2 linked regions of the Kluyveromyces lactis genome follow. The protein of the gene in region 1 binds, or shares a complex with, the protein of each later gene. Links are inferred from orthologs where the notes say so. Each region holds a gene or a part of one and is shown on either strand. Other genes may lie near its edges.

Region 1 (7,669 bases):
TAGTAATTTCTTTTGTTTTCTGACATCGATGAGTTAGATACGAAAGACTGTCTATACTCCTACCATATTGGACAACCTCTTTCACTATCGTTTCTACGAGGTGGAGACATTGCACTGTAGTTACTGTGCGAAAGAGTAAGAGTTTTGGTGATCAATGGAATGTTTTGAGTATTGGAATACTACCTGTGTTCTGTAGCATTAGGTTGTTAATTTTAATACATGGAAGGATGGGAAAGTTGGGATGGATTGATGCCCACGTTTATTTTATGATTATTACTGTCTGCATGGGAGAAAGTAGTGCTGAAAAGTTGTTAATTTAATTCGTAAGGACCCCACCAGGGTTCTTTTTTTTCCTTTCATTTTTTTTAGTTATAAAAGGCAAGCGAACATTGCACCAGGGAGCAAGTGTACTCATCAGCAGCATCTATTTAACTTCCATTTTGAAGCTAGCTACCAAAGAAAGCAACAGAACAAGCATAAATTAGTCAAACCATCTGTCCTATAGGCGTTTTTTCCTTTTCTTTTCTAATATTTGAAAATACGTGCAAATTAAACGCTGATCAAAATTCAGATCTAATAACACATCAGTGCAAACAAACTAAACAAAAATGGCTTTGCAACAGTTTGATTACATTTTTGCCATTACAATGCTCTTTGCATTCTTGGATGCATACAATATTGGTGCCAATGATGTTGCCAACTCGTTTGCTTCCTCTATTTCATCTAGATCCTTGAAATACTGGCAGGCTATGATCCTTGCTGCTTTATGTGAATTTTTGGGGGCTGTCTTAGCGGGTGCTAGAGTCTCTGGTACCATCAAGAACAATATTATTTCTGCTTCACCTTTCGAAGATGATCCAGCTGTGTTAATGTTAACTATGGCATGTGCTCTTGTCGGTTCTGCCACTTGGCTTTCAATTGCGACATCTATTGGTATGCCAGTGTCATCGACTCATTCTATCGTTGGTGGTACCATCGGTGCCGGTATTGCTGCCGGTGGTGCCAAGGGTGTCCAATGGGGTTGGGGTGGTGTTTCTCAAATTATTGCTTCTTGGTTTATTGCTCCAATCTTAGCCGGTTGCTTGGTCACTATTATTTTCTTGATCTCCAAGTTCCTGGTCTTGGATGTTAAGCCAATTGAAAAAGCTATTAAGAACGCTTTACTACTCGTCGGATTTTTGGTGTTCGCTACCTTCTCGGTGTTGACTATGTTGATCGTTTGGAAGGGTTCTCCAAACTTGAAGTTGGATAAATTGTCTGGCACAACTACCGCATTGGCTATTGTTCTTACTGGTCTAGTCGCTTGTGCTGTTTACTTCATCTTCTTGTACCCATACTACAGAAGAAGAATCTTGCACAGAGACTGGACCCTAAAATGGTATGATATTTACAGAGGCCCAACTTTCTACTTCAAGTCCACTGACGACATTCCACCTCTACCTGCTGGACAATCTTTAACCATTGATTACTACGAAGGTAGAAGATTCGAAGATGAAACTGCCGGAGATGATGAAACCCAAATTGAAACTTCCCACACCGCCGATGGAAGAGATACTGTAGAGGGACATATTGAAATTAACGACAAGGAATCTGTCAACCAAAGTATCAAATTGGTGCAAACAGAAACTTTGCAAGAAGAAAAACCAACTACCAAACAGCTATGGTGGTCATTGCTAAAACAAGGACCAAAGAAGTGGCCTCTATTACTTTGGTTGATTGCTTCTCACGGTTGGACTCAAGATGTTATTCATTCTCAGGTCTACGATACAGGTGCTTTGTCAACAGATTTCAAGGACATGTACAAGAGATCTGCCTTCTATGACAACAGAATCGAATTCATCTATTCTATCTTGCAAGCTATTACCGCCGCCACTATGTCTTTTGCTCACGGTGCCAATGATGTTGCCAACGCCACTGCACCACTAGCTGCCGTGTATGACATCTGGCAGAAAAACACTGTGGAATCTAAGTCTGACGTTCACACATGGGTTTTAGCATACTGTGCCGCTGCATTGGTCCTCGGTTGTTGGACATACGGTTACAGAATCATCAAGAACTTGGGTAACAAGATGATTTTGCAATCTCCATCCAGAGGGTTCTCCGTTGAACTTGGTGCTGCTGTTACCACTGTTATGGCAACACAATTAAGTATTCCTGTTTCTACTACTCAAGTTGCTGTCGGTGGTATTGTGGCCGTTGGTCTTTGTAACAGGGATTTGAAATCCGTTAACTGGAGAATGGTCGCTTTCTGTTACAGTGGTTGGTTCTTAACTCTTCCAATGGCTGGTCTCATTGCAGGTATCTTGAACGGTATCATCTTGAACGCACCACGTTACGGTGGAGATTACCAATTATCATAATCATCAGATTGATATTTTCTTTCTCATGGCCTCAGCGCCTTTTAGGAACTTTCATTAATTAATTGTTTGTGCACTAGCTAGATAATAGTTTATCTGCTACAAATATAGAACATATTCGGTATTATAGATTCTGCAAATTTCCTCATATATTAGCCTGCATATTTAATTCTTTCTAAGCAGAATCGATATTTATTTCTATCAACGCTTATTCTCTATTGTTTTAAGAATCTGTAGAATATCTTTAAAAACAAAACCTTTAAAATTTGTATCGAAAGGACATCTCATACAGTAAACTATTCACTAGTAAATCATCTGAGTAAACAACTATCACGGTGATAGGCATGGAGACTCCCAGTTTCCTAAAACAATCTCCACCACCTGGTTACATCGCTGGTATAGGTCGTGGAGCGGTTGGCTTTTCCACCAGAGGAAGTAAAGATGATAAAAGAGTTCCTGCTAGATTGAATAGATATGGGCGAGATGCACCAGATACTTCTGTAACAAAGAATCCAAATAGATACAGATCAGCAGTTTCGAATGAATCATCGGAGAAACAGGTTAAAGATGAAGACGAACAAGAGATGAGAGTGTACGAAAAGATCGAACAGCGACTTAAGAATAAAAAAATTATCGACAATGAAACAAGCCTAAAGACGAAGCCAGATGATGAACCAGACAAGCTATCTTCTAAATTTGTAGATTTGAAGCGTAATTTAGCAACTCTTTCTGAGCAAGACTGGCTGGATATCCCTGACGCATCTGATATGACCAGACGAAACAAAAGGAATCGAATAGAGGAACAACTTGAAAGGAAAACATTCGCTGCTCCTGACACTTTGTTCCAGGTTAATGTCAACTTATCCAAGTTAACTGAAGAGAGGGAAAAGTTACTTGCTGTCCAGATAGATAAGAGTTTTGATTACAGCAAAAGTCAACTTACGGATGATGCTGAATACTTGAATAGAATGAACCAAGATGACAACACTATTTCATCTACGGATTTGGAAGACATTAGGAAAAACAGATCCCTATTAGCCGCGTATCGTAAATCCCATCCAAGAAATCCAGAAAACTGGATTTCTTCAGCAAGAATCGAAGAAAGAGCCAATCAGTTCAATCGAGCCAAAAGTTTGCTAGCGGAAGGTTGTAAACTGTGCCCTAAAAGTGAAGCTATCTGGTTAGAATCGATACGCATGAACGCATCCGATAAAGAATATTGCAAGAGGTTGGTTACAGTTGCCTTAAGGCTCAACGAGTTTAGTGAGCAGTTGTGGTTGAAGGCAATCGCCCTCGAACAACACAATACTGATAAAATTAAAGTCACTCGAAAGGCTCTAATTAAACTACCACTAAGCTCTATATTATGGGAAGTGGCGGTAAATCTTGAAACTTCCACTCTTGAAAAGCTGAAAATTTTGAAGAAAGCAGTTGAATTAGTGCCGAAGGATTCGCAGTTATGGTTGAAGTTGATAAGGTTACAATCAGTCGAATCTGCAGTGGACACCTTGAAATCTGCTGAAGAACATATTAAAAAAGACATCACATACTGGCTTCTCAAATGTCAACTCGAAGAAAAAAGAACGACCGCAAATCTCGATACGTTGGTAAATATCATTTCTAGCGCAATAAAGGATCTTCATGAACTGGAAGTTAATCCAACTATTACTGAGTGGTTCGAAAATGCAGTCGCTATATCAACAGAAGGATTGTATCCATTAACAGCGAAAGCAATCATCACAGCTACCATCAATAACTTATTTGAAGACGCATCCTCAAATTTCCAAAGTCTCTCGAAGCTGTTGGTAAACGACACCACACTTCAGTGTACCTTGTTTTCCTCCTTCCTAATCAAATATCCAACAAAGTACTCTATTTGGAAGGAGTTCACCAATTTCGCCGAAGACTTTTCGCGGAAATTAGAGCTACACGAAACATTCAGGAAGATCCTCTTTACAGATTCTCAAGCGGTAAAGAAATACCCTGTCTTGGTTTTAATGTATGCGAAAGACGTTTGGGATTGGGGTTCTGGTTCCACTGAAGCGTTGTCGATTTTAGATAAAGCTCTGGTGACAAATTCGGCGTATCCTGAGTTTTGGTTGGCTAAACTCAAAATTTTGAACAGAGATGGCAAATTGGATGAGATTATAAATTCCTTTGAAGAAGCCGAATCACACTTGGTAGAATGCATTGATAAATTAGTTCCTTTTTACGTTAAGTGTTTGCAATCTAAAGGCAGTTTGGAAATAGCTCATTCTACTGTTGATATAGCTTTGGCACGTGAACCAAACGACAAACATTTACTAATCTTGAAAGCACAGCTATACAGGCAACAAAGGGACCTTTCATCAGCGAAGCGTGTGCTACAGAGGGCTACGGATATTTCTAATCATGATCCAGAAGTGTGCTTGGAGTTCTCCAGACTGGTAATGGAAACACAAGATTGGGGCAAAGCGCGTTCAATACTCAGCGTTTCTCTACTAAAGAATCCAAAATCCGATACACTCTACGAGGCTCTCATTACATTGGAACTGCAAGTGAAAGATAACAAACAAGTAACGTACCTCATCGCTCAGGGTCTCAAAGCGTGTCCACACAGCTGGAGGCTCTGGTGTCTAAACATCAGAACCCTTCCTAAAAAATCACTACGTAAAACCACATTCCAAGATGCTCTCGAAGCTACAAAAGAGCATCCAATGGTGATAACTGAGATCGGAAAAGTGTTCCAAAAGGAACACCAATACGCGAAGGCATATAAATGGTTCATAAGAGCCTCGGAAAATAATCTTCAATTTGGGGACCCATGGGTATGGCTCTACATCTGCGAGTCGTGCATGAATCCAGTTGATTTGCAAATAAATGAAGAAAAAACGTTAAAGAAATTGAAAGAAAATGAACCCAGGTACGGTATACTATGGGAGCCCGCAGTAAACTCATACCTACACATATCAAACTCTCCGATTGATATTTTGCACAGCATTATCAACAATTTACACCAATAATTAGATAGAATGTAAGATTGTAAGATTGTAATAATAAAAATTGGGACAACACTGATGCGACTGTAAATTGACTTTCCGCATTGTCAGAAGTTCCGTTCCTCAATCGTAACTAACCCAGTATATGCGGCAGTTCTGTGTATTTTTCCGTTGTGATCTGATTCTCTGCTATGAAAGAGTCAGCTCTTATATCTATCAAAGAGAACTTTTTCCAGTGGAATTTGAAAATTTGAAAACGAACAACCAAAATGGAACTTCGAAATTGCGAAGAGTATTGGTAGTCGACAGGGATCGGAGGTGAAGTGAAAAACATCGATAGCAGCTGTTGAGAGTCTTAAATACCCGCCGAGGTCCACGTCATTTTTACCAGGGAAGTTATATATATATACTGATAGGTCAGAAAAAGTATGTCGTTCGGCAAGGGACGCAATGAGAGTTTGGATTGTCTCACTCCAGCATCGTATGTGTCTCAAGGTGCGGCACCTGAGGCACCAGCACCGACCCAAAGTGTCAGGGCAAGCCAGCCGCCACTATTCCCAGCTAGTAGCAGACATATTCTGTCTCCTTCGACGTTACTAGCGCATCCAAGTCCGCATTCAGTGCCCAGTACTGCTACTCTGCTTGGACTTTCCTCTGAACACGTAATCACTAGTCCTCAGTCGGTTCAGTTGAAAAATACACCTACTTCTATCGGACCAAGTCCAAGAGATGTGCTAGTTACCAATCTATCGCCGATCTCTGATATTTTACAAGGTGATCGTTCATCTATGTCACCTGCATCTGGAATCTCTTCCGTAGATGCATCGGGTGCAACACCCTCGACAGATGCAGATGGGAAAATCGTCAAGCGTAAGTATTCTAGAAATGGTTGTTTGGAGTGTAAGAAAAGACGGATGAAATGTGACGAGGGCAAACCGACCTGTTGGCAATGTGCCAGGTTGAATAGAAAGTGTGTGTATATATTGAATCCAAAGAATAAGAAACGGAAACCCAGAAAACCCAAGTCTGCAGGGGCATGCGCTACATGTACTGAAGATGGTGATGAGAAGGGAAAGGTTAAGAATGATGCAACGATGAAGAGTGAAACAAATTTCTCACTGAATAGCCATGTTAATGATTCTTTGGTAAATTCAGGATTGCCAAACCTCATACCTGCAGGTAGCATTAACGCTATGGATGCCAATCTTTTGATTCAGAATCTCAACGACATTGTTAGTATGAAGTTGAATGACTCTTTGGTTAGCGATGAATTAAAGGATCTTGAGTTTAACGACTTAGATCTGCCAGATCTGAACTTTCCAATGCTTAACACTGCTTCGGAGTTTTCATCAGTTCCAATCTCCTTTTTGGTCGATAATACAATCACTTTCAACACATCTCTAGAATCATTCAAGCTAGGTGGTCTGCATGATAAATATCTGCGAACCTTTTACCATGACTGTTTGGATTCCATCACACCTTTCTTTCAAGACCAAAATAATCCACTTAGAGATATATTACTGTCATTCGGCAGGAACGAACCATATCTTCTCTCGGCGATTTTAGCTGTGGGCGCCTCTATTGTTCATCGTAAATCAAACAAAATGGAGGATGAAAAGGCGTATTGCGGCTATTTATCACATTGTTTGCAACTCCTCGGAGATCAGTTTAAAAATGAAACCAACGTCATTAATAAGCTTGAGCCTATTATCCTAACTGTCATTTTATTAACTTGGGATTGTATCTATACAATGAACTCCCAATGGAGGTCCCATTTGAAAGGTATCACTGAACTTTTCAAGAAGATCAATTCAGGAAACTCATCAAAAGTGCTAAATGTCGCGAAATGTTGGTTTAAGGTTATGGAGACTTTTGCAAGTATTAGTACCGTGCTAGGTGGTGCACTTGTTGAGGAAACAGACTTGGACGCGATTTTTGATCCATACGATTTCCAGTATGTCGAGTCGTTGAAGTCTCTAAATATCACAACCTCGTTGAATGAGTTCAATCTTTTACGGGGTCACAACGAAGAGTTTGATCTTGTTATCAAAGAGGTCTTCAAAAGTTTGAACTTGATTAGGTCTTTGGAGAAGACAAGCATGGACGGGAATAAAGGTGGAATGATCAATAAAAACATAGACTATTTACTCTTCTTTGACTCTCACTCTGAAGCCTATATGAACAAGCTCTCTTATTTCAAGATACAGAAAATCATCGTGGAAATTGATAAGCAGCTTGAATATCAATTCATTGACAAATCCGGTGTAATACCTGCAGATAATCAATCACATCCTTCTAACAGCAAAATACTAGATCATGCAATAGATCTTGTTA
Region 2 (4,032 bases), on another chromosome or scaffold:
AAAAGGATCTCATAGAAATCCACCTCCATTGAAATTCATTGATGTGGAGGAAGTTATCTATAACACGGTGAAACCTAAGAGTGAAAATACTACGGCTGCTAGTGAACAGCAGTTATTGAAGCAGAATCAAGCAGAGTTGCGTAGAAAATATTTGAGTGAGTCTTTACGTAACGAAGAACAAAGATTATTAAAGCAGGAAGAGCTATTGAAGAAGAAAGAAAGGGTACTACAAGAACAGAGAGAAGCCGAATTGAAAGAGCTTAACAAAGAACGTTCGAGTAACTTGACCATTCCAACATTGGAGGGCATTATGAATCAACCGCTTATGAGACAAAGGACTGCCGAAGAGCAAGAAATTCTGGATTTGAAGAGAAAGCACAACAAGGAATTGATTGAATTCAAGGCTAAAGAACGCAAACTTGCCAACTTGGTACAGCTTTGTCATGCAGCAGACCATTTCATTGTGACAGAAGAACAACTGGTGGCCAGTGTAGAAAAGGCATTCGCCTCGGACAACCAAGATGTATTAAGAAATAAGTTGTCTTTGTCGACTTCTCAACAAACAGCAAGAAACGAAGGTGAAATTTCGGATGCATTATTTGGTACTTTGGGCAACGGCAAATACGTAGGTTTGCCAATTGTGAAGGAATTTTTATCTGGTGAGATGGAACAATTTAACCAGGAAATTAATACCAAATTGGATGAATTAACTAAACAAGCGGAAGAACGTAAAGACTCTGTCCTTTGAGATATATCTTTTAGATAATATCACTGACACAAAAGAAACCATATGAACTTAAGGTATTCTCCCCAATCTGAGCAACACATTGTAAATAGATCCATAAGATTACGAACAATATATCTTTATTAGCCTTGATAGTGCTTGTCGCCGTTATCGAAATTTCAGTGCCTTTCATTTTTCCGTTATAATATACAGGCTTATATAATTACACGACAGAGTCCGATCAATGCTTCTACACTCTAAGCATCTTTCTTTCATCCTATTATCATTTTCTGAGTAGGCATTATCAATTTGCCACAACAAGTGTTATATTATCACCTTTCAACATAATTCTCCCAAGAAACACTGCTTTATCATCGCTCTCTTTACCACTTTTCGGATCTACAGCTATTTCGAAAGCGTCATCTATTACCACATTCATGAACTCATCAAAGCCTCTGATCTTGCCTCTTATACGTGTCTGTACTTGTTCGTATAACCAAAACGTTACTGTTGTCTGATGATGAAGGTAGTTGTATATGCAATTGATTGGAGGTACCATAGGAGCTCCTACTTTAGAGCCGGACATTTTAGACTTTTTCTAGAATCTTTCGGTGTATTGAAGGTCGATGTTAGTGTAACTATAATCAGATCGCAGTTATCCTTTATTAATGTCAGTCACTAGTGCCATGTTGAATTCGTTTGATATTAGTTTAATAGGATTATTGTTAACATATTAAAAAAATTTTATATATTGAATCAACCAAAACATTTGATCTTACTTATGCACTATAAAAGGAACTCATAAAAACTGCCACAGCAGATACCGTTGAGCAAGAACGACGTGATTGATCAATATTGATGTTGTATCAAATCCCAGATATCAAGAGTGCATTGATTTGTACTCAAAGTGTTTCTGAACAGGAGAAGAAGATACAAGCTTTACAATTTTTGGAGCAATTTCAAAAGAGCATAGAAGCATGGCAAATCTGCTTCGAAGTATTAAGCAAGCATGAAGCAGACAACTTACAGTTGCAAATGTTTGCTTGTCAAACTCTAGTGAACAAAGTCACCTATGATCTAAACCAGGTCAATACCGAATTAGAGAGTTTCAAGGGAAAGCTCTTTGAGTTCATCGCTATGTATGAAGAGAAGATCATAGTAACACAGTTGAACGTGGCACTAGCCCGATTTACCATTCAGTATCTTGATTGGAGGAATCCGCTAGTTGAAATTATTAATACTCTAAATGGTCTTCCGGGAAAGTTACTACTGTTTTTGAAGATTCTCCCAGAGGAAACATTGGATATCAAATCCACTCCTCTATCCCAAGATGAATTTGAGTGTAGAACACACGAACTTATAGATAACATTGGAGAAGACGTATTGAAATTTTTGATTTCATGTTTGGATAGAGTCGGAACTGAAGGCATATCTGCTTCTAAAATCATTTCGTGCTTTGGATCGTGGTGTTATGAATTTCCAATAGAACAGGTATTACAAGTGACTCCATTGATAAACACCGTGTTCCAAGTCTTGCATACTTCATATGATACTGATTCTGATTCTTTTGAAGCTGCAGTAGAATGCTTATGTGTGTTATTAAGAGAAACGAGAGACGCAGCCAACGATACAATCATACATGCGCTTTACGAGCAACTTTTAGCTTTGCAACAAAAGCTATTGCCAATCACAACCATTTCTGACTGGGAAGAATACGAAGAGATTATGGATCCACTCACACGTTTATTCGTTGAAGCTGGCGAAGCGTGGTGTGTTTTTCTTGCAAAGAATCCTGCCTTATTCAAACCATTGGTTGAAGTCATCTTGGTATTAACTTGCAAGAACACTGACCTCGATATCGTTTCGTATACTTTCCCATTTTGGTTTAATTTGAGGCAAATGTTAGTTTTACAACGTTACGCTCAACAAAGAAAAGAATATCAGGATGTATTTATTAATTTAACGAATGGTTTGATTACACATTTGCATTATCCGGAAACTGTTTTTGAAAATAAGGAAGATGAAGATAAATTTAAAGATTTTAGGTATAACATTGGTGATGTACTTAAGTCTTGTGCTGCTGTCTTAGGTTCAACCGTTGCATTGCAGCAACCATATAATCTTATCAACCAATATCTTCAGAAAGAAGATCCTAACACGGTCTGGCAACCACTAGAGGCTGCCTTGTTTGCTGTTCGTACAATGGCTCATGAAATTTCTCATACTGAAAACGTTGTGCTACCCCAACTTTTCAAACAACTATGCATACATCCACTAACTCACCCCAAATTGGTTTATTCTACAATACTCGTATTCTCGAGATACACAGAATGGACCAGTAAACATGAGGATCTACTGGAAATCCAATTGAATTATATATTCAATGGATTTGAAGCAGGCCAATCAAATCATGATCTCTCTGTTGCTGCCTCCAATGCATTAATGTATTTCTGTCAGGACTGCTCGTCACTTCTTGTTAATTATTGTGGCCAGTTAGTGGATTTTATTTGGAAAATTGAACGCGCAGTTGACAACTACTCTATGTTTGAGATGTGTCAAGGCTTAAGTTCTGTCATAAATGAGCAGGAAACAGCGAAGATTGGTGGCATATTCAATTCATTCACCTCCCAACATAATAAGAGGTTTGACATTATCATTCAGCAATTCATCTCGAACCCATCTGATCCTGATCTTTCTGCAAAAGTTGCACACTATATTGATTTGCTTTATGCAATTTTGGAGAACATTGTCCCCAAATTCGAGTATCCAGAACAAGGTGTTGAAGAACCGTTAATTGCCTCTATTTCCGAACATATTACAAAGTTAATTAACTTATTGGACGCATATGCGATCTCTAATGTTATCATTGTCGATAGAACAATGAAATTCTTCCGTCGTGTTTTCGAAAAATACCACCTATTCACACAACCAATACTTCCGGCGGTCTCAGAATTTGTGGCTAAAGGTTATTCAACAAGTGGTCTAGGAGCGTATTTGTGGTTCTCTGGTTCAATTATTTACGTTTATGGTGACGATGAATATTATCCTGTCGATGTACAGGTCAAAGAGGCAGTGTGGCAATTTGCCTGTCAGCAATGTTCTACATTCTTCAATAATTTTAAGTCAATGCAAACATTAGACAAATTCTTTGAAATGGTTCACGACTTCTTCCTTATGTGTAATGATCTTTTAATGTTTTTCCCTGAACATATGATGAACACTCCTGTGCTTATTTCGTCCCTAATACAATGGGATTTAGAGAGTCTTCCAAAACTCGACAATTTTGAAGCATATATGACATTGATCAG

Evidence for each region. Proteins that work in one complex are often made in the same cells at the same time.
Region 2: PRP6 (region 1) and SME1 share a complex: the UniProt entries of both Saccharomyces cerevisiae proteins name them as parts of the U4/U6-U5 tri-snRNP complex. The link is inferred for Kluyveromyces lactis from reciprocal best matches to the Saccharomyces cerevisiae genes PRP6 and SME1.

What each region holds. Positions count from the first base shown.
Region 1 is NC_006042.1:394,910-402,578, forward strand, and holds PRP6 (U4/U6-U5 snRNP complex subunit PRP6), read left to right. Parts: upstream 1-2,701; coding exon 2,702-5,359; downstream 5,360-7,669. Other genes in the region: PHO89 (Pho89p), read left to right, coding at 609-2,360; LYS14 (Lys14p), read left to right, coding at 5,764-7,669. UniProt on the Saccharomyces cerevisiae protein: Participates in pre-mRNA splicing. Part of the U4/U5/U6 tri-snRNP complex, one of the building blocks of the spliceosome.
Region 2 is NC_006037.1:203,985-208,016, forward strand, and holds SME1 (mRNA splicing protein SME1), read right to left. Parts: upstream 1,311-4,032; coding exon 1,029-1,310; downstream 1-1,028. Other genes in the region: mitochondrial 37S ribosomal protein PET123, read left to right, coding at 1-748; mRNA transport regulator MTR10, read left to right, coding at 1,583-4,032. UniProt on the Saccharomyces cerevisiae protein: Involved in pre-mRNA splicing. Binds and is required for the stability of snRNA U1, U2, U4 and U5 which contain a highly conserved structural motif called the Sm binding site. Involved in cap modification.